Linked DNA regions of Bombyx mori. The protein of the gene in region 1 interacts with the protein of each later gene in a biochemical or structural test. Links are inferred from orthologs where the notes say so. Each region holds a gene or a part of one and is shown in the gene's direction. Other genes may lie near its edges.

Region 1 (4,195 bases):
CACTTTGAGAAAGACTGAGATAACGGAAATAAATATAAGATTTTGATTATACACATACATATATTTAATATACATCCATAACCCTGGAAAAGACATTTATATTTATCATACAAATATCTTCCCTTGGCGGGATTCGAACCCGCGACCCCCTTGTGTAGTGACCATGTCACTTACCACTACACCAGATGGACGTTAGATTTGTTGATAGATTAGATAGATAGATGATTTGTTGATGAATTTTCGGATTATCGATATTCCCCTTCGAATCCTTACTACTTCAAATTGTTATTTTCACTGATCATACAAACCGGTTTTAAAATGAACACCTCTCAAGGGTGTTTCCTGAGCTCTATGAAATCTTCTTGTTCAATCAAGGTTTGAAAGGAGTATAGCATTGCCAGTGTCCATGAGCATCGATCAGTACTTACCGTCATATGGGCCATTGGCTATTGTATCTATTACGAAAAAAAACCACAAATACTTAAGATTAAAAGTGTTTGAAAAAACTCTAGCATTTTTTATGTGTTAATTCGAAAGTATTCTTGCCTAGCTTATTTATTCTGATGAACTGCTGCTACAATCAACGCCCTATAGGTGAACAAAATGTAATCGTTCAAAGCTCTGCCATCATTTCGTTCAGCAATTCACCATCTTCTGCTCCCCACTCCGAACGAGGAGCACTGCTGCTTGAGATACAGGTTTCATCACCTAATTCAAGCACAGATGCAAATTAAGACTGTCTTTCTACTTCTATGCTAACAATAAATAAATAAGTAATAAAAAAATGAGTATCGCCGGCAACCAGCTGTTCTTCTAGCTCTAACTTTTCTATTATTCTCATTTACAACTCCTACAAGCTGATTGAATTTTCACCGCACTCGCACATATCAGCTGTACGTTTTCACCAAGCCTTTTGGTGGGCTAATCGATATATTAGAGATAAAAACTTGTTTAAGCCTTTGCATAAGTTTTACTATTACTTCTTAAGTGAAAATAAATTTATGTGTCCTAAAGTACATATTAATTTATGATAGATATTTTTCAAAACATAAAACAATCGTCAAAGCTTAAAAACTGTTTGAATACGTATAGCAACATTCCGCCATATTGCTCAGAGTGATTTCTTTCAGGCAACGACTTCCTAAAATAGTGATCGAGAATAATCCTAAAATACAAGCCTGAAGGGAATACATGGAATTTTTAATTTATTATATTATTCATTAAATTAACTCAACTCATCTCGTCTCGTCTCGTCTCATCTCATTTCATTCATTTCATTTCATTTCACACCATGTTTCATATTAATCAACTTTATTTCATTTCATAATATCTTTTTTCATATAAAAAGTTTTCATTATAATTAAAATAAGACTTGACCTAAAAGTCTTAGTTACCAGGTCATAAAATTCTTTATTCTGCTTTCAAGAGTCAAGTTGAATTTCATTCATTCGTGAAAGAGCTACCTAGTTGCACGACGTGTCCTACAATTTGTGATAATTTTAATAATTTTTGTGAATTCCAAAAAGGTAGGAAATATTTCAATTTTTCAAAAATATCACAACTCTACTGCATGAAATAATTATTGTCAACAAGAAAAGTTTGAAAATCAAGTTTGTCATTTGTACACACAAAAAAATCTGAAACAATGACGATGTAATTTATGATCGTCGCCATTTTGTGATGACTAAAAGTCTTTGTTCTTTTGTTTTGTTCGTCAATCCATTTAATACTCCGAAATAGGGAATTCATCCGTCAATCTTCATTAAAGTTCCTTCTTTGTTCTAGAAACCACCATGCAGATTTTTGTAAAAACTCTCACTGGTAAAACCATAACATTAGAAGTCGAAGCATCCGACACCATAGAAAATGTAAAAGCAAAAATTCAAGACAAAGAGGGCATTCCTCCAGATCAGCAGCGACTGATTTTCGCTGGGAAACAACTTGAAGACGGACGGACATTATCCGATTACAATATTCAAAAAGAATCTACTCTCCATTTGGTATTACGTCTGAGAGGTGGAATGCAGATCTTTGTGAAAACACTTACCGGTAAAACCATCACACTAGAAGTTGAAGCATCTGACACCATTGAGAATGTGAAAGCCAAGATTCAGGACAAAGAGGGAATTCCCCCAGATCAGCAGCGATTGATCTTTGCGGGCAAACAGCTTGAAGATGGCCGTACATTATCTGACTACAACATCCAGAAAGAATCTACTCTGCATTTGGTGTTACGTCTCAGAGGTGGCATGCAGATCTTTGTGAAAACACTTACCGGTAAAACCATCACACTAGAAGTTGAAGCATCTGACACCATTGAGAATGTGAAAGCAAAGATTCAGGACAAAGAGGGAATTCCTCCGGATCAGCAGCGGTTGATCTTTGCGGGCAAACAGCTTGAAGATGGCCGTACACTATCCGACTACAACATCCAGAAAGAATCTACTCTGCACTTGGTTTTGAGACTGCGTGGTGGCATGCAGATCTTTGTGAAAACACTTACCGGTAAAACCATCACACTAGAAGTTGAAGCATCTGACACCATCGAAAATGTGAAAGCCAAGATTCAGGACAAAGAGGGAATTCCCCCAGATCAGCAGCGATTGATCTTTGCGGGCAAACAGCTTGAAGATGGTCGTACACTATCTGACTACAACATCCAGAAAGAATCTACTCTGCATTTGGTATTACGTCTCAGAGGTGGCATGCAGATCTTTGTGAAAACACTTACCGGTAAAACCATCACATTGGAAGTTGAAGCATCTGACACCATCGAAAATGTGAAAGCCAAGATTCAGGACAAAGAGGGAATTCCCCCAGATCAGCAGCGATTGATTTTTGCTGGCAAACAGCTTGAAGATGGTCGTACATTATCTGACTACAACATCCAGAAAGAATCTACTCTGCATTTGGTGTTACGTCTCAGAGGTGGCATGCAAATCTTTGTGAAAACACTTACCGGTAAAACCATCACACTAGAAGTTGAAGCATCTGACACCATTGAAAATGTGAAAGCAAAGATTCAGGACAAAGAGGGAATTCCCCCAGATCAGCAGCGATTGATTTTTGCGGGCAAACAGCTTGAAGATGGCCGTACATTATCTGACTACAACATCCAGAAAGAATCTACTCTGCATTTGGTGTTACGTCTCAGAGGTGGAATGCAGATTTTTGTGAAAACACTTACCGGTAAAACCATCACATTGGAAGTTGAAGCATCTGACACCATCGAAAATGTGAAAGCCAAGATTCAGGACAAAGAGGGAATTCCCCCAGATCAGCAGCGATTGATTTTTGCTGGCAAACAGCTTGAAGATGGTCGTACATTATCTGACTACAACATCCAGAAAGAATCTACTCTGCATTTGGTTTTGAGACTGCGTGGTGGCATGCAAATCTTTGTGAAAACACTTACCGGTAAAACCATCACACTAGAAGTTGAAGCATCTGACACCATAGAAAATGTGAAAGCCAAGATTCAGGACAAAGAGGGAATTCCCCCAGATCAGCAGCGATTGATTTTTGCGGGCAAACAGCTTGAAGATGGTCGTACATTATCTGACTACAACATCCAGAAAGAATCTACTCTGCATTTGGTGCTACGTCTCAGAGGTGGAATGCAGATTTTTGTGAAAACACTTACCGGTAAAACCATCACATTGGAAGTTGAAGCATCTGACACCATCGAAAATGTGAAAGCCAAGATTCAGGACAAAGAGGGAATTCCCCCAGATCAGCAGCGATTGATTTTTGCGGGCAAACAGCTTGAAGATGGTCGTACATTATCTGACTACAACATCCAGAAAGAATCTACTCTGCATTTGGTTTTGAGACTGCGTGGTGGCATGCAGATCTTTGTGAAAACACTTACCGGTAAAACCATCACACTAGAAGTTGAAGCATCTGACACCATTGAGAATGTGAAAGCCAAGATTCAGGATAAAGAGGGAATTCCCCCAGATCAGCAGCGATTGATCTTTGCGGGCAAACAGCTTGAAGATGGTCGTACACTATCTGACTACAACATCCAGAAAGAATCTACTCTGCATTTGGTATTACGTCTCAGAGGTGGCATGCAAATCTTTGTGAAAACACTTACCGGTAAAACCATCACGCTAGAAGTTGAAGCATCTGACACCATTGAGAATGTGAAAGCCAAGATTCAGGATAAAGAGGGAATTCCCCCAGATCAGCA
Region 2 (8,303 bases), on another chromosome or scaffold:
ATATGTTACGATAACTGCACCGTTAACGGATTTACTGAAGAAAGACGCTAACTGGGGTTGGCCGAACAGGATCAGGCGTTCACAGGCACTAAAAGCGCTCTGGTGGAGTGACCGGTGCTAGCTCTATACGATCCTAAGTCCGAAACCGAGCTACATACGGACGCTTGCAAAGAAGGCCTAGCGGGTATTTTACTGCAGCGTAACTGTAATGGTGCATTGCAACCAGTTTCCTACTTCAGCAGGAAAACTACCGCTGACGAACGCAAGTTTCATTCGTACGAGCTCGAAACTTTGGCGGTCATTGCATCTCTCAATCAGTTTAGGGTTTATTTAGTGGGAATACCATTTAAAATCTTGACCGATTGCAATGCACTCAGGTCCACTCTAACTAAGCGTGACTTGATACCTCGCATAGCTAGGTGGTGGGTCCAACTTCAGAAGTACGACTGTACAATCGAGTACCGGCCTGGTGTTAGCATGGCACACGCGAATGCCCTAAGCAGAAACCCAGTCAATTCTTCCTCAGGTAACACATGTACTAGATGTTTTACAAATACAGCAAATCGAACAGGACTGGATTACGACGGTACAAACTGCAGATGACGAGATAAATAAAATCAAAAGGATTCTTTCTGACCCTTCATCGGCGGAGGTAGCGGACATACACAAAAACTACAGACTGAAGAATGTCCATGTTTACCGCGTGGTAGGTGACGAAATAAAATGGCTGGTACCCAAAAGTGTACGCTGGCAAATTTTAAAAATGAACCACGATGACGTTGGCCATTGTGGTTTTGAAAGAACCCTACAGCGCATCCGAGGCCATTATTGGTTCGCGAAAATGCGGCGTCTCGTCCGGAAGTATGTTACCTCCTGCCTTGAGTGCGCGTACCACAAAGCTCCAGGTGATAAACGAGAAGGAGAACTCCACCCAATCGAAAAGATAAAGGTACGAGTTTCACCAGTAAGGCGTTTCAAGATTTTACGACCTCTTACGGGATCAAACATATTGTAAATGCCGTTGCAACGCCTCGAGCAAACGGGCAAGTAGAAAGGTTTAATAGAACGATTTTAGATGCTCTATCGACAGCCAATCACGGCGGCGACGACAAGTCGTGGGACAACCACATCACTGATATACAGGTTGGTATGAACACAGCTCGACATAAAACTACCCAAAAGAGCCCCTCTGAGCTACTATTTGGATTTAACATAATTAATAGAACGGAAAGCATACTTAGTACGGTAATCAATGACACCCTAAATAGGACTCCCATTGAGGAATTGGCGGAAGTCAGACAACAGGCTAGTAAAAAAAAAAAAAAAACAGCAACAAGTTAAAGATGCAGTCAATTTTAATAAGCATAGGAAACCAGCGAGGCAGTACCAAGAAGGGGATTTAGTACGCTTAGCAAGGCAGGCTCCGCACGATGGAAAATCTCAAAAGCTCTCTGTTAAGTACCAAGGCCCTTATCGTATACTAAAGGTTCTTCCCAATGATAGGTTCGTGGTAGAAGATATACCAATGACTCGCAAAAAAGGTAGAAGGTATGAAGCAGTTGTATCTATTGATAAGATTCAGCCTTGGATGTCGTTCTGTAGAGAATTAGAATCTGATGAATCTAGTTATAGTGTTGATGACAGTGATTAGATACTTGATTACTCAGTTTATGTTTGACATTTAGTTACTTAAGAAAGAAATTGTTATTTTAATTATTATTTTGATAGAACTTAAAACCATGGAAACGATTTAGCGATAGATATGTGTATGTACTTAGTATTTATAGCAAAAAAAATGTTTAAAAAAAATGTTACACGTCATATATAAACCTAGTGTATAATTAATTGCATTTATTATTATTATTTTTTTTGTAACATATATATTTTGTTTTTTTTTCTTGATCTCAAAGCGAAGGGTCTCGCTTTAGGTAGGATGGCCGAGCTGTAAGGTTTATGATTATTTATATTAATATGATTATATAGAGTGTAAGGTTTCTGATTATTTATATGATTATATAGAGTCCTGTACATATTAAGAATTATTATTAAATATGAGGTTTATATTGCAAACCATTAAAATATTGTTAAGTTATAAATTCAACAGTTGACAAATGTCGTCAATAGATGTCACAGGCTAACAAAATTACATCGCGGTAGCGTTGTGTGTAAAAATTTGTATAAGAAGTCCAAAGTAATTATGAATAAATCAAGAACCAAACGCATCAATGTAAAATTGGCAGATTAAAGCAAAGTGTGAACAAAGTTAGCCTGTTTAATTTATATGTCTGACACCCAAAATTTGTGTTCCCTTCCCTCGCCCTAATAACTCCTCGAAGACGATTCTTCATAGACCTGATCAGCTTTTGAATTGATTCTTGTGGGATACCTTCCCACTTCTCAATCAACGCCGATTTCAGCTCATTCAGGCATGAAGGAGCAGAAGTTCTGGAACGAACCCTATTCTTCAGTTCATCCCACACGTGCTCAATAGGATTCAAGTCAGGGCTGAGCGCAGGCCAGTCCAATGTGGCGATATAGACTTCTTCGAAGTATTCAGTTGTTCCACTGGCAGTGTGACAACGAGCGTTATCGTGCTTAAGGAGGAAGCTATCACCGGCATATCCCGCATAGGGAACGACATGTTCCAGCAGAATATTGGAAATGTATCGGTCCGAAGTTAGACCGCCTCCTCGTCCCCCGCCAGGCACGAAAACAAGCTCGGTTTTACCGTCGAAGGAAATGCCGGCCCACATCATACAAGAGCCGACCCCATAAGCCACTGTTTCAGCGAAACAGCACTGCGCAAATCGCTCCCCAGGCCGCCTGTAGACCCAACCTCTTCGGTCGCTACCATGCAAACACATCCTGCTCTCGTCGGAGAACAGGATTTGCCTCCATTGCTCAACCTCTCAATTAAGATTGGTACGAGCAAATTGAAGGCGTGCTTGTCGATGAGCTACCGTGAGTTTCGGCCCTGTGACAGGCCTTTTTGGAGTCAGATTCGCTTGCTTGAGTCGTCGAAGAACTGTCTACTTGCTAGCTGCTACCCTACGAACATCTCGGAACTCCTGTTGGACGTCGACACCAGGTTAATGCCGATTTCGGAGAGAGGTTAACACGATAAAACGGTCATTCCTCTCCGATGTGCCCCAGCGCCGTCCAGATCTTGGTCTCGAGATAAAGCTACCAGTCTCTTGAAAGCGCTTGCAAACTTTTGAAACACAGGAATGGCTTATTTGGAGCCGACGAGCGACAACCCGCTGGCTGAGCTCTTCTTGCAATAGGGCTACGATTTGTGCTACTTCTGTAGGTGTTGTCCCAATTGTCGTACAAGGTAAAGGGTCAAAAGTAGCCGAGATATGTACCGGTCAACGTGTGAAAGTCGACTGATAAAGAAAATCCGATAACAGGTGCTTTTAGAGGGGTCAATAGGCCGCAACTCGCGACGTATCAAGCAATTGAAACACGTCTTTTTCGTTATTCCTTCACTTAATCCAAGATAACTTCTTAAATACTGGTTTGATTTTAATTAATTTGGTATCAGTTTAAGGTTAAGAGCTCAACCTTTAAAATGATCTCATTTTTATGATTATCAAAAAAATATGTAGTACACAAGATCGCGCGGAACCAATTTCAAGTAAGTGATTCCAAACTTTTGCTCGCGAGTGTAGTTGAAAGGATGGTTGTTGGTATCATAAAATTATCATAAAATCTAAATATCCATGATCATAGATTATACACTTAATATTCGAGATCCATGATTGTCAAATGACATTCTGATAAATGTCAATGTTCAGTCTTAACAAACCTAAACTGTCAAATGTCAAAAAGTTCAATTCTCATTTTCTCTGTTTTGATGCCGGTTCTGATAACGACTAATATTATAAGAAATATTTTATGTAAATGCTTATTTCTGGGGAAAATGGCTAATTTGCCTCCACGAAAAGTTACTTCAGCTAGCAAATCAAAACAAGATGCTTCTCCACTGCAAATACTTTTGCAAATGGGTTTTAGAAGGCAAAGAGCGTAAGTTTGTAGCGACACTTTGTCTATATTATGTGGTAATAAATGTAGTAGTAGTATCTAGTTTGGAACCACAATAAATTGTACAAGCAAATTTAAAGAAATCAAAACTTAATTGGGCCACAGTAAATATAATACTACAATATAATTTAAATTGCTTAGGTTGAAAGCTTTAGCAGCAACTGGTAACCGCAGTGTTCAACTCGCCTCTGACTGGCTATTGACACACGTTAGTGACTCGAATATAGATGCTGATGATCCTCGCGAGTATATCTTCTATGCCAGTCCTACAGGACCTTTACTCTCACAACTCCTAGAATTCTGGGATAAGTCTAAGGCAACGTGTGGTTGGAATGGAGCTCATAATTTTTTACCTCACATCACTTTAGTATCTTTTTTCAAGGTAATAAAAAATATATCATACATTCCTGTTGATTCCTCTATCAATTTATGCATAGTCCCTGTAAACAAACATTTATAAATAATGTAAGCCTCATTTTATTTTTTGTCAGATCTTTGAATTGTTTAGGTTTATTTTAATTTACTATATTTTGCCACCAACAATTTATTTACAATTTAAGCTATGGTTTTTAGAGTTAAATGGAAACTGGGCTATAGGTATTATTTCAGATAATAGATATGTCAATCCTCATCCCCACTTCCAGATATAAGATATGAGTTACATTTGTAACAATGGCTATTTTAATTCTGCAGCTAATTTTAAAATTTAGTCAGGTTCTACAAAAATTGGATATTAATTTTATACACATTAAATATATAGATAAATTGATCCAAAAAAGAAGACACCACAACCATCAATGGTCATTGTTTTTGGAAATGCTTCGCTTATGCCTTGTACATACATATATGCAAAGTAATTATTATTTATTACAAATAATTATAAAGAATGGATGGATATAGAACTGATGTGATTGATAAATGTTTATTATTAACATATCTTATGAAATAATAGTACATATCTAAACAAATAATCGCAACAGTAAAAAAATATCCATAGGCACCCGATGATACATCTCTTAATTTAGCAAAAGCAGTTCGGCAAGTTGTCGAGAATGTGGGTGACCCACCTAAATGCACTCTTAAGCTCGAACCCTATGTATCACACAACTTTATGGGCTTGTTTATCTCTGAAGAACATGCTGAGTATTTGAAAAAAATTGCAGTGCAATATGTCAAGCAAGTGTCTTCAGTTTGTAAGTATATCTATAAAAGAAGAAATCAATCTAAGAAAAAATATTGTAGATTCTCACTATTTTAATGTAAACTTTATAGTTAAATATCTATTACCATTATTAGAAACAGCATGTACTGGTTATTTCTAGAAATTAGGTACTGTTGACTTATTTGACCCTAATCTGATTATGAAGAAAATAGTCTTTATTTATTTGACATTATGTCTGTGTTACTTCAGTGGGTGTAATGGTGGACACATATGAACATTTGGATGCATTAGGAACATGCTTTCCGTGGTGTGCAATGGCACAAGAAAAGAATCTTAAATGTAAGAGTGGATATTCTAACAGCTTGCTTTGATGTAATAACATTTTTGTGACTATTTTTATTCTAAATACAAAGCAGTAGTTTCTTGACTTGACTATACTAAATATATTAATGTTTTCGTGGCTTAATCGGTAAAGTGTATACATATACTGATACTAAGATTTGCATGTATGTACCTAACGAACAACTTCCATGATGAAGGAAATCAAAATAATAATATGCGTAATGAAACTGAATTAAGTTTGAGTAATAACTAGTTGGACACTGGACTCTGAGACCACTCTGAAAGATACTTTCATGTTGTCTATTGCTTCCTCAGAAGTGTTCATGATTTTCAGTTTTAAGGGTGAGGTATTCTCTGTACTTTTTTTTTTGTTTATTGCCTTACAGGCAGATGAGCACACGGCTCACCTGATGGTGAGTGGTTACCGTTGCTCATGGACGTCAGCAATGCCAGGGGTAGAGCCAAGCCGCTGCCTACCGTTTAATACTCTCCACAAGCCTTGTTTAAAGAAGGACATGTCATAGCGCTCGGGAAACACCATGGAGGGGAGTTCATTTCATAGCCGGATGGTACGTGGCAAAAAAGATCTCTGGAAACGCACTGTGGATGAATGTAGTGGCACCACGTAGTATGGATGAACTTTACTCCGGTGGCGGGAGGTTCGATGGTAAAAACGAGATGTTGGTATCATCTCGAACAATTCCTCTGAGCACTCCCCATGGAACATACGGTACAAAATACAGAGGAAACTGAAGTCCCTCCGCAGACCCAGAGGTTCCAATCGATCCGTAAGAATGGGATTATCAACAATCCGAACGGCTCTTTTCTGTATGGAATCAAATGGAAGTAGCTGGTATTTGGGAGCCCCGGCCCAGAAATGGGAGCAGTACTCTACGCGATGCCGGACCTGTGCTTTGTAAAGCAAAAGTCTTTGTCCAGGCGTGAAGTACCGCTTCGCTCTGTTGAGGACTCCCAGCATTTTTGACGCCAACTTGGCTTTGCCCTCCAAATGACTCCGAAATTGGACATCGCTCGAAATGTCGAGCCCAAGTATCCCAATATTCTTGGAAGGTTGTAGGGATACACCTTGGAATTGCGGCGCCATGACAAAGGGGTCCTTCTTCGCAGTGAACGCGCAAACCTGTGTCTTCAACGGGTTGAATTGAACCAAATTTACTTCACCCCACTCGGAGGCTCGCCCCAGAGAGTTCTCCACTTCAAACACAAGTTTTGAATGTCTCTCCTGCACTACGCTCCGTGAGAGAATCTGATGGCCGATATATCGCACATCCCCCGTGCTGTCATCCGCATAGCAATGCATGCCATAAATAGACAGCATGTCATTGATATACAAGATGAAAAGCGTGGGGGAGAGCACCGAACCTTGTGGAACGCCAGCGTTAATGGTCATGGTATCAGAGCATTCACCGTCTAGAACGACCGTGATGATCCGCCCATCCAAAAAGCTAGCGATCCACTTGCAGAGCCCCTTGGGGATTCCGTAAGCTGGCATGACGTCGACATTTCATGTCACAAGGTGGGTGAAGCCATTTACATTGATGTTGATTATTGCTTCTTCTTCATCATGTAACGAATTGTTGTCGGTTGCAATCTAGAATCGCTTAGTAATAAATGAGAGAAGTTAGGAGGATGCGAGCCCTCATGCAGGTTGCTTAATGGTTCTAGCATTTACTGGGGCAAATACACTTATAACTTTTTAGAAGATTCTGCTAATACCTTACCTACCTGAAAAACCTGAAAATCTATTACCACCAAACTTTTAAAACGGGAAAGTGCAAGAAATTAACCCAAAATTAAGGCTGTAATTGTGGAAAGAACGAAATGTGATGTAATCTACATATCCTTTGTTTAATATGAAACTGCTGCTATGTATATTGTTTGTCGCATGGCATGAAATAAAACAATATAATTGTCTAGTTTAAAAAATTTAAATGCACGTGATTCAAATGTATTTATTTCATTCAAGCCTAAAAACACCACCTTTTTCTTCAGTGGCGGCCTGCCAATTTAATCTTACACTACATGCTTCTAAGGTAAATACGCTTTTATATAATACGTACATATATACCTATATGCTACATTTATTTTAATAACAATTAGTTCTTTCGAATCTGTTAGTTCTGTTTGTTGTGTTTAGAAAATTTGCCGTAGTTGATTTTTGTAATAAAAAATGCTGTAGCTCTATTTCATACGTATATTGTAACGTAGTTTACTTATCACCAATACGTATTTTCTTGAAATAGATTTTTAAGCTTACTAGAAATATTGAATGACATTAAGAACGAATAAGTTTATTTAATATATATTTTTGAACAATAGCATCAATAAACCTGGAAGCGCACGTAAAATCTCTTCATATCACACTGGCGTACCATTTTGAGGAATCATCGTATGAGGATCTGAAGAGCCTGGTGGAGGAGATGCAGCCAGTCGAACACTCCAGCTGGGAGCTCAGGCTTTATTCGAGGGATCCACGTTTCGCTAATCATCAGGTAATCGGGATGATTCCAAACTAGGCCTTTCTATATGGCCGTATGAAATGAGATATTAGGTCGGTATCAAATGTATTGTCGACTGGTTTGATTTTGCTGTTATAGTTACAATAAATTCATAATGAAAGAACTAGTTTATAACATCATAATATCATCATGATCATTAGATCAGCGGGTACTTTTGCCCTTTGACTGTCATGTAGGTTACTGATGCCCTACGTGGCGCACTGAAGGAATTAAGT
Region 3 (8,243 bases), on another chromosome or scaffold:
CATTTATACCATGTTAAGGAGGTATTATTGACAAGAAACATTCCAATGACAATAAATAATGATGATTAAATATTTTATTTTTATTAACACTAACTACTATTATGAGTTTAAATTATGCTCTTCTTATAGCTTTCTTAACTCCTGTTCTTCTATATTCACTTCTTTCTTTCAAATATTCCTCAGTGCATATCTTTTTGAATTCTTCATTATTGTACCAATTTGATAGACAATCCTTTAAAGCTGCATTGGGTGATCTGCATTTAACCACCATTAATAATGAAGCATCTTTGCAACATTTTTCAAATTGAGCTACTTCTTCAATGCATTTTTCTTGTTTAGCCTTTTCTCTGATAAGTTTTGGTATCATAACATCTATTTCAACTTTTCTGAGACTTCTATCATCAGGATCGCCTGTAATTATAGATTAAGATTCAGTTATGATGGGTGTTTTCATATAGGCTTTTTATCAGACCAGCATTTATACAAATTATAAAATACCTAGGCCTTTTGGACCAGCCGAAAAAGTTGGCGGTAACACAGATTTTTCTGCCGCCATTACTGACAGCGACTATTTGTGTAAAATTGTATACGGTAACGGAAAAGTAATTGATTTTAATTTTTTCGTATTAGGCAGATTGTAGACACCTTTTTACTTTATTTACATTATAGCATGTTAAAAAAATTTACGTGACGGCAGACTGACAAGTGACCAGTGTGACCAGATTTCGTTTGACGAATCTACTGCTTGTGGAGGTTAAAATCTACTGAATTCTACCAAAAGAGAACGAGAAATACTAAAAATCAATTATACTTTTTTTTGCTGTCGTGTTACAACGTAAAAACATGAATGTTTCCTTGATCAAACAATAGAATAATAATAATAACAAAGAAAACACCATTAATTCAAGAGACCAATGTTCTTTTTTTTTTATTAAATTCAAAATAAAAAAAAATAAAAAAATAATAAAATGAAACTTAAACTTAAAATTCCTCGTCTTTATGTTGGGTAACATTTTCATAAAGTTGTTTTGAACCCATTAACATGATAATACTTCTGTCAGGATCAAATGTGCGACTTCCTCCTACCAACTGTCGTAGCCCCTCTTTTCCATGCATTATTGCAACAACATTCTTATTATTAAATCAATTTCGATCTTGATTTTAAACCTATTAATATTAGAAAATATTCTTTCTATTTTGGCATTTGACAAAGGTAGTATCGTCATTTGCTTCACAATTCGGGACAAATTGCTATACCTTGGCTTGCTATTCGCATCACAGATTTGGCTGACATCACTCCAAAATTTATTCACCATAAAAGATTCAGACGTCGAACAAGAAGTTGACAACAAATTAGACACGGAAACATCTCATTTTAATTATATTCTTTGTCAACAATTTCCTTTTTTTTTTTTTTCCTACCTAAACTGAGAGCCTTGAGAGGCTATTTCAGCGTAACCCTAACGTTTGTAGGTGAGCTCACGGGGCTCAAACCTGACGACGATGCTAACACGAACCCTAGCAAGAGCCGTGCTTCGCAGAATCTACCACCGGATCGGAAACGCGACCCACTGAGAAGATCCGGCTAGAAACTCAGTGGGCTGTGTCTAGGAGTTAATTTACTCGTCGAGCCCTTCGTCGCAAGCGACGGGTTCGACAAGAACGGTGACCGGTGCTTGAAGTACCTAGAAGCACCGTTAGTGGATCGGGAGGATCCGAGATGATGTGTTTTGGGTGACGTCGACTGCTTTCCATTCTGTCCGCAGGATCGGGAATGTAGTTACCGGCGGCCACGATGAGAGGGTTCTCGTGTCGTGCCGCTTTATCGAAGTGGCGCATCGACGCCGACTGAAGATTGCTGATGGACTCTAAGTCCAGGTCGTCATGGAGGTCGACGTTCCTGACGAACCACGGGGCTCCGACGGCTATCCTGCAAAAATGGGATTGAATAATTTGGAAGGATTTTAAGTGAGTGCGGGCCGCGTGAGCGAACACTACACTTGCATAGGTCATGACGGGGCGTATGCAAGTTTTGTAGAGTGTCACCTTATTTCTAAGGGACATTTTACTTCGCCTGCATATCATCGGGTAGAGACGTCCTAGTATAAAGGCGGCACGGTCGCGTACCGTCTTGATGTGGGGGCGGAATGTCATCCTACTGTCGAGGGTGACGCCTAAATATTTGACCTTTGGGGCCCACGGTATGGGCTGGTCGAACATCACCACACTTTGCATGTTTTCTGTTACAACTACAAGGATATCGCGATGAATGGGACATCGTGATATCCTTGTGTATATTTATGTTTCATTTTAAGCTCCCGAAATATCCCGAATGTATCCAAAATGCCAAAAAAGTACTAGATTACCTGAAAAGACTGAATTCTACTAAAATATACCAAATAATTTTTACATACTAAATTCTGTTGCCAGTACCTCAGAATCTACCAAAAAAGTAGAAATCTACTAAATCTGGTCACGCTGCAAGTGACAGTATTGAATGACATTATTGACGCATTTGTGTTTACTTTTCCTATACTGGAAAGGCGAATGAATCATACCAAATGCTCTTGTCTGCTTTTTATTATTTTATAAAAGGCAAAATGAATTTACCTTACGGTAATTGTAGCCAGACGGCTGGCTGATCCTCAGACGGCTGGCTGATCCTTCGGCTGGTCGTAGGACCGTCGAGGCGATTCGCCCGGTCCTTGTGGATTGGGTGAATCGTAACAGAGGACGCCTCACTTTCCGGCTCACGCTTTCAGTGCTCACTGGGCATGGTTGCTTCGGTGAGTTCCTGCACCGGATTAGAGCCGAGCCGACGGCACCATTGTGATTGCGACTTGGACACGGCAGAGCATACGCTCGTCGCCTGCCCCGCATGGGAGGGGTGGCGCCGTGTCCTTGTCGCAAAAGTAGGAAACGACTTGTCGTTGCCGAGTGTTCTGGCATCGATGCTCGGCGACGACGAGTCGTGGAAGGCGATGCTCGACTTCTGCGAGTGCACCATCTCGCAGAAGGAGGCGGCGGGGCGCGTGAGAGACGCACAATCCCGCCGCCGTCGAGCGGGGGCCAGGGAGGCGGATCTCGCCCAAGCCCTGGCCCTCTAAGGTTTTCGGGTCCCCCCTCACATGTCGGTCTGGGAACCGGCGAGGGGGGCCTAAGAAGACGACGTGCAAGCTGCTCTGCACGCGTTTTACGCAAGAGCATCCGGGTGATGGAAGGCCGGCTATCCTCGACCCACGCTGGTTCTGGTCCAGTGGGGTATTCCGTAGGATAGCTCACTCTAACCGGCGCCATCTAGGCGGGCTTCGGATAGCCTGCCGACCGAGAGGGCTGGTGGTCGTGGCGCCGACGACCGCCGGTCCGGCGTCCAGAGGGGGAGGGTGATGGGAGAGATGTGCTCCGCACTAAACGCTTCACTTTCGCTAGCAACGTCGTCAGATTTGAGCCCCGTGTGCCCACCTACTAGTTAAGGTTACGCTGAAATAGCCTCTCAAGGCTTATCAGCTTAGGTAAGAAAAAAAAGACATCGAATTGTACGTTAATTAATGATGACTAAGAAACGTTCGGAAATTGATAGAGGAAGTTTCGCGTTGAACCTAGATTTTTTTAGGGTGTCATTGTGTTTTGTATTTTCATAAATATCCTGGACCATACTGTGATATTTTTTTTTTGTTTACTTGAAGAAAAAAAACTTTTCAAACGCTTAAGCTGAGAAAAAATATTTTTTCTGAATAAGATTTCTCTTTTTCAAAAGGTTCACATGATTAATGAACGGAAGTAAGACATGAGAAAGCATTTTCTGCGTGAGTTGAGTAAATGTCATTTTGTCAAACTAGTAGTCAAGTCACCCGAGGTTCATACTAAACTGATTCTTTGCATTACTGTGTTTTTTATATGTTATTTCTATTGTGAAATTTAACTAGAAGAAATACACTTGATTAGATGTAAGTAGCTACAAGAAAAAAAATTGGAGTCCTGCACAACTTTGGGATACCTACCCACCGCATCATTGTTTCGATTGCGCTTTCTGTGGCGATATGAGTACTGTTATGTTTTATATGTTTTGCAGTGTGAAAGTTAAGAGGTAGAAACTGAAATGGATCGTCTTCTTCGTCTTGGTGGTGGAATGGCGGGCTTATCACAGGCGCCACCTCCTACCGATGCTCCAGCAGTGGACACCGCGGAGCAAGTGTACATCTCTTCCCTAGCACTCCTTAAAATGCTGAAACATGGACGTGCTGGCGTTCCTATGGAGGTTATGGGTCTCATGCTCGGTCAGTAAAACAAGTTTTTCATGAAATTATTATGATTATAAACTTGGTAAATTAAATTAGATCTGTAACAAAATGTGAATACACATTCATTAAAATCACAAAATTCTATTTTTAGTAGTAGAAGTCGGTCTTAGTGACTAAAGTATTCAACCAAATGTACGATTTTATGTTGCCTGTATTTGTGGAAATTCTAAAGAAAATATTTTATTTCAGGAGAGTTTGTAGATGACTATACAGTTCGAGTTATTGATGTATTTGCTATGCCACAAACCGGGACTGGAGTATCTGTAGAGGCTGTTGATCCAGTCTTCCAAGCTAAGATGTTGGACATGTTGAAACAAACAGGACGACCCGAAATGGTTGTTGGATGGTTAGTGTCTTTAAAGTAAATTATACAAAATAAGAATTACAATAATATTGAAAAGAAATAAGTCAACATTGCACAATGACATTCAAAACAGATTATTATTTTAGTTTTTATAATACTTAATCAACTTTGTATGTCTAAGATGTTAGTTTTCTGTTAAGATATATGGCGAAATATATTGTGGTGCTAAGGTGTCTTATGAGCTTGCTCTTATAAATGAAGTACCACTACCCTACTTATCTTCTACAATGATGCAGCGTTGACTTTAGGTTTAAAGGATGGGGACAATCTTTTCACCATACAATTGGGACATAGACCTCATGTCTTAAGGTGGGTGGCAGTTTTGACATAATTACTTCTAAGCTTTTTTATTATTATTGCTTAGACGGGTGGATAAACTCACTCCGCACCTGGTGCTTAGTGGTTACTGGAGCCCATAGACATTTACAATGTAAATGTCACCATCTTGGTTTGCATACATAAACTTAAAGTAAATTATAAGAACTTTACTAATTTATGTAGAATATAGTATTCTGCCCATAGCATAGGTTTTGACACTGGATAGTTGTTACTATTGTGATGTTCATTGTTCAACATTGATTTACAGGTATCATTCACATCCTGGCTTTGGTTGTTGGTTATCTGGTGTGGATATCAACACTCAACAGTCATTTGAAGCATTATCGGAACGTGCAGTAGCTGTTGTGGTTGATCCCATCCAGTCGGTAAAGGGTAAAGTTGTGATAGACGCGTTCCGCCTTATCAACTCAAATATGATGGTACTTGGACAAGAGCCCAGACAAACCACCTCAAATCTCGGGCACCTCCAGAAACCATCTGTACAAGCTCTTATACATGGATTAAATCGTCACTACTATTCAATTAGTATAAATTATAGAAAGAACGAGTTGGAACAAAAAATGTTGTTGAATTTACATAAGAAGTCCTGGATGGATGGACTAACTTTATCTGACTACAAAGAGCATTGTTCTGTTAATGAGTCCACAGTTACCGACATGCTGGAATTAGCTAAAAACTATAATAAGGCTTTAGAAGATGAGGAGAAGATGACTCCAGAACAATTAGCCATTAAGAATGTAGGCAAACAAGATCCTAAAAGACATTTAGAGGAGAAAGTGGATGTGCTCATGGCCAACAACATAGTCCAGTGTCTAGGAGCTATGCTTGACACTTTGGTATTCAAATGATTTTTGATGTGACAGACAGTATATACAATAAGTCTTAAAATAACTAGGATGGTTATCTTTAACACGTCTCATGGTTTTGTAATGTAAAAATAACTGTACTATTTTACTGAATTGTACCTAAAACACTAAATAAAAGTCTTTATTAGTGATAACATTTATTAATTAAACAATTTTTGTGCTCCTATTTCATTTTGAATTTTTATTAGTCTCTTTTTAACTGTAGGATAGTACTTTAAATTTGTGAAATCTATGTCAAACATTGGTTGTTGATTCTTTTGAGAGTTGACAATATTACGAATGATAGATTTCAATTTTTGAAATGCTTCTTCATTATCGTCCACTACGATCTGATGAGTAATAAAACATATATGCACATATAACATTTTCATCATTAAGTTCTGCAAGTCAAGGCATCCGCAATCAAGACACTTAAAATCAACAAAAATTATCATCAATGGGAGAAATTGCCATTTTCGTATTGAGGACAGACATTTCAAGGCAATCGGAGCTTTGCTGATGTAATGCTGTTGTGAATCAGTCATGAGTGCGATCGGTAACTACTTAACTTAAGGTGGAAAGTATATTCACCCATACTCTTATTATAATAAAATCATATTGTAATTAAAACAAAAAAAAACTCGGTTTGTGCAGTGCCAATGCTCTTAATTAAATATAAAGAAAATAAGTAATAAGGTGGTGTCTGGGCTAAAGGCATTGTAAAAAAATTGGGCAATCCAAAAAAAATCTGTTGGATTTCGTAAGTTCTAACAGACATTATGTAAGTAAGTTCTGGATTTAGGGTATGTACATTACAAGGTTGTTGGTTTGTATACATACAGTGTCCCAGAAAAGACCTGGACATTTTCGATGGATTTCATCGTAATCATCTCTTATATTTGTTGTAAAAGATTCGCTGGGTATCTGTGAAACAAACATGTATTGTCAGGAAAACGGTTCTCCCATATACACAGCAAAATATCAATAGTTACTTTTTCATAAAAATCCATTTGATGAATTATTGAATCTGGATTATCGATTTTGGTATCGTGTCGTTGCACCGTTTCCGCTGTAAAAATATGAGACAAGATTATTATAATGCACCAGCTGACCCGGCAGACTTCGTAGCGCCTCAATCGATTAATAAAGGACCTAAACTTTTGTATAAAATAAATTTAAAACAAAAGGAATCCGTCCGACGCGGGCCACATCAACAAATTTACTATTTTTATTTAATTCCGAGCATTTTCATATTTACCTTTTTAAACCTTCTCTGAACTTCCACAAGCCGTTTTCGAGTTTTAGCGAGACTAACGAACAGCAAATAATTTATATATATTTAGATACTCTCATAGAAGCGATTATTATTAAAATATACTCTCCGAATTTGGAATATGGCTACCTTTTATTTGACAGAAGTTTTAAAATTATTATACAGTGTGGGTAGTTTTTTTTTCTACAACTGCGGGTATTTATTTATCAGTTTACTCCGAGGCGAAGTGGAGCAATGTTACGCAAAACAATATAATATAATATAACAATATAAGATAATAAGCAAACTATACGCAACTATTTCGTAATAATCACTGCGTCAGGATCTACACTATAGCATAGTGACATGACTCCTTATGAGGACATTGCTAAACCCTACAGCTAGTATCAAATGGTAGAAGTTCTATTGTCAAAGAGTTCAAAGGATTTTTATTAATAAATGGCAGTTTTAAATACCTACATACATACAAATGAAGTGGGAGTGAATGCTTCCGTATAACATTTTAGTACAACTATTTCACACTAATTATATGTAGTAATTCTTCAAAAAATGATATAGAGAGCGACTACGAGATTTTCTCAAAAAAAATTACAAACTAATATACAAAAGTTAAACTCACTATAAGAAATATTTCTTGCATCGCTGGATTGCATCAGGCCTGTTTCAGTCAGAAATGCAAGCCAGAGATCTTGGTCATCGAGTGATCCGCCTGATCCGAGTCGTGGAAGAGCCCGCGCAGGCCACGGTAGTCGAGTGCTAATTGAACGTATGTTTTTTGTGTTTGCTGTGACATAGAAATTAGGAAAATGTTTGTACACAACGTTTCAGATTTTTAGATTTTGACTTTAAGTAGTATCCTTATTAAATTTAATAAAAATCTTACGTTACGGACGTTTTTTCCCGGTTAGGGTACCCCTCCGCATCGTTCTGTAAGGAACTTCGTTCCAAAATTTGAATAGGTACTTACTAATCGTATGCCTACAGATACTTATGTGGATGTTGAAGTTCGTGTAAGGTTGACCGAAGATTTGCCAATTGAGAGATTAAAAAAGAATATGTATCGACAATCGACTCAACCTGGCTTTTTTGTAATGTAGCCAATTACTACAATACTAATTGCT

The links.
Region 2: the proteins of polyubiquitin-A (region 1) and ecdysteroid-phosphate phosphatase form a complex in vitro, tested with the Homo sapiens proteins (6 studies listed by BioGRID, with this or other methods). The link is inferred for Bombyx mori from reciprocal best matches to the Homo sapiens genes UBC and UBASH3B.
Region 3: the proteins of polyubiquitin-A (region 1) and 26S proteasome non-ATPase regulatory subunit 14 form a complex in vitro, tested with the Homo sapiens proteins (4 studies listed by BioGRID). The link is inferred for Bombyx mori from reciprocal best matches to the Homo sapiens genes UBC and PSMD14.

What each region holds. Positions count from the first base shown.
Region 1 is NC_085127.1:9,713,253-9,717,447, reverse strand, and holds the start of polyubiquitin-A, read left to right. Parts: upstream 1-1,395; 5' UTR 1,396-1,526; intron 1,527-1,785; 5' UTR 1,786-1,793; coding exon 1,794-4,195.
Region 2 is NC_085131.1:8,632,378-8,640,680, forward strand, and holds the start of ecdysteroid-phosphate phosphatase, read left to right. Parts: upstream 1-3,760; 5' UTR 3,761-3,820; coding exon 3,821-4,026; intron 4,027-4,185; coding exon 4,186-4,426; intron 4,427-4,617; exon of another isoform or gene 4,618-5,041; coding exon 5,042-5,237; intron 5,238-5,455; coding exon 5,456-5,545; intron 5,546-7,535; exon of another isoform or gene 7,536-7,602; intron 7,603-7,888; coding exon 7,889-8,061; intron 8,062-8,303. UniProt on the Homo sapiens protein: Interferes with CBL-mediated down-regulation and degradation of receptor-type tyrosine kinases. Promotes accumulation of activated target receptors, such as T-cell receptors and EGFR, on the cell surface.
Region 3 is NC_085109.1:7,948,024-7,956,266, reverse strand, and holds 26S proteasome non-ATPase regulatory subunit 14, read left to right. Parts: upstream 1-3,851; 5' UTR 3,852-3,947; intron 3,948-4,072; 5' UTR 4,073-4,099; coding exon 4,100-4,277; intron 4,278-4,490; coding exon 4,491-4,647; intron 4,648-5,251; coding exon 5,252-5,852; 3' UTR 5,853-6,000; downstream 6,001-8,243. Other genes in the region: tRNA-splicing endonuclease subunit Sen2, read left to right, coding at 1-69; uncharacterized protein LOC101738145, read right to left, coding at 6,011-6,199, 6,690-6,773, 6,842-6,918, 7,742-7,906.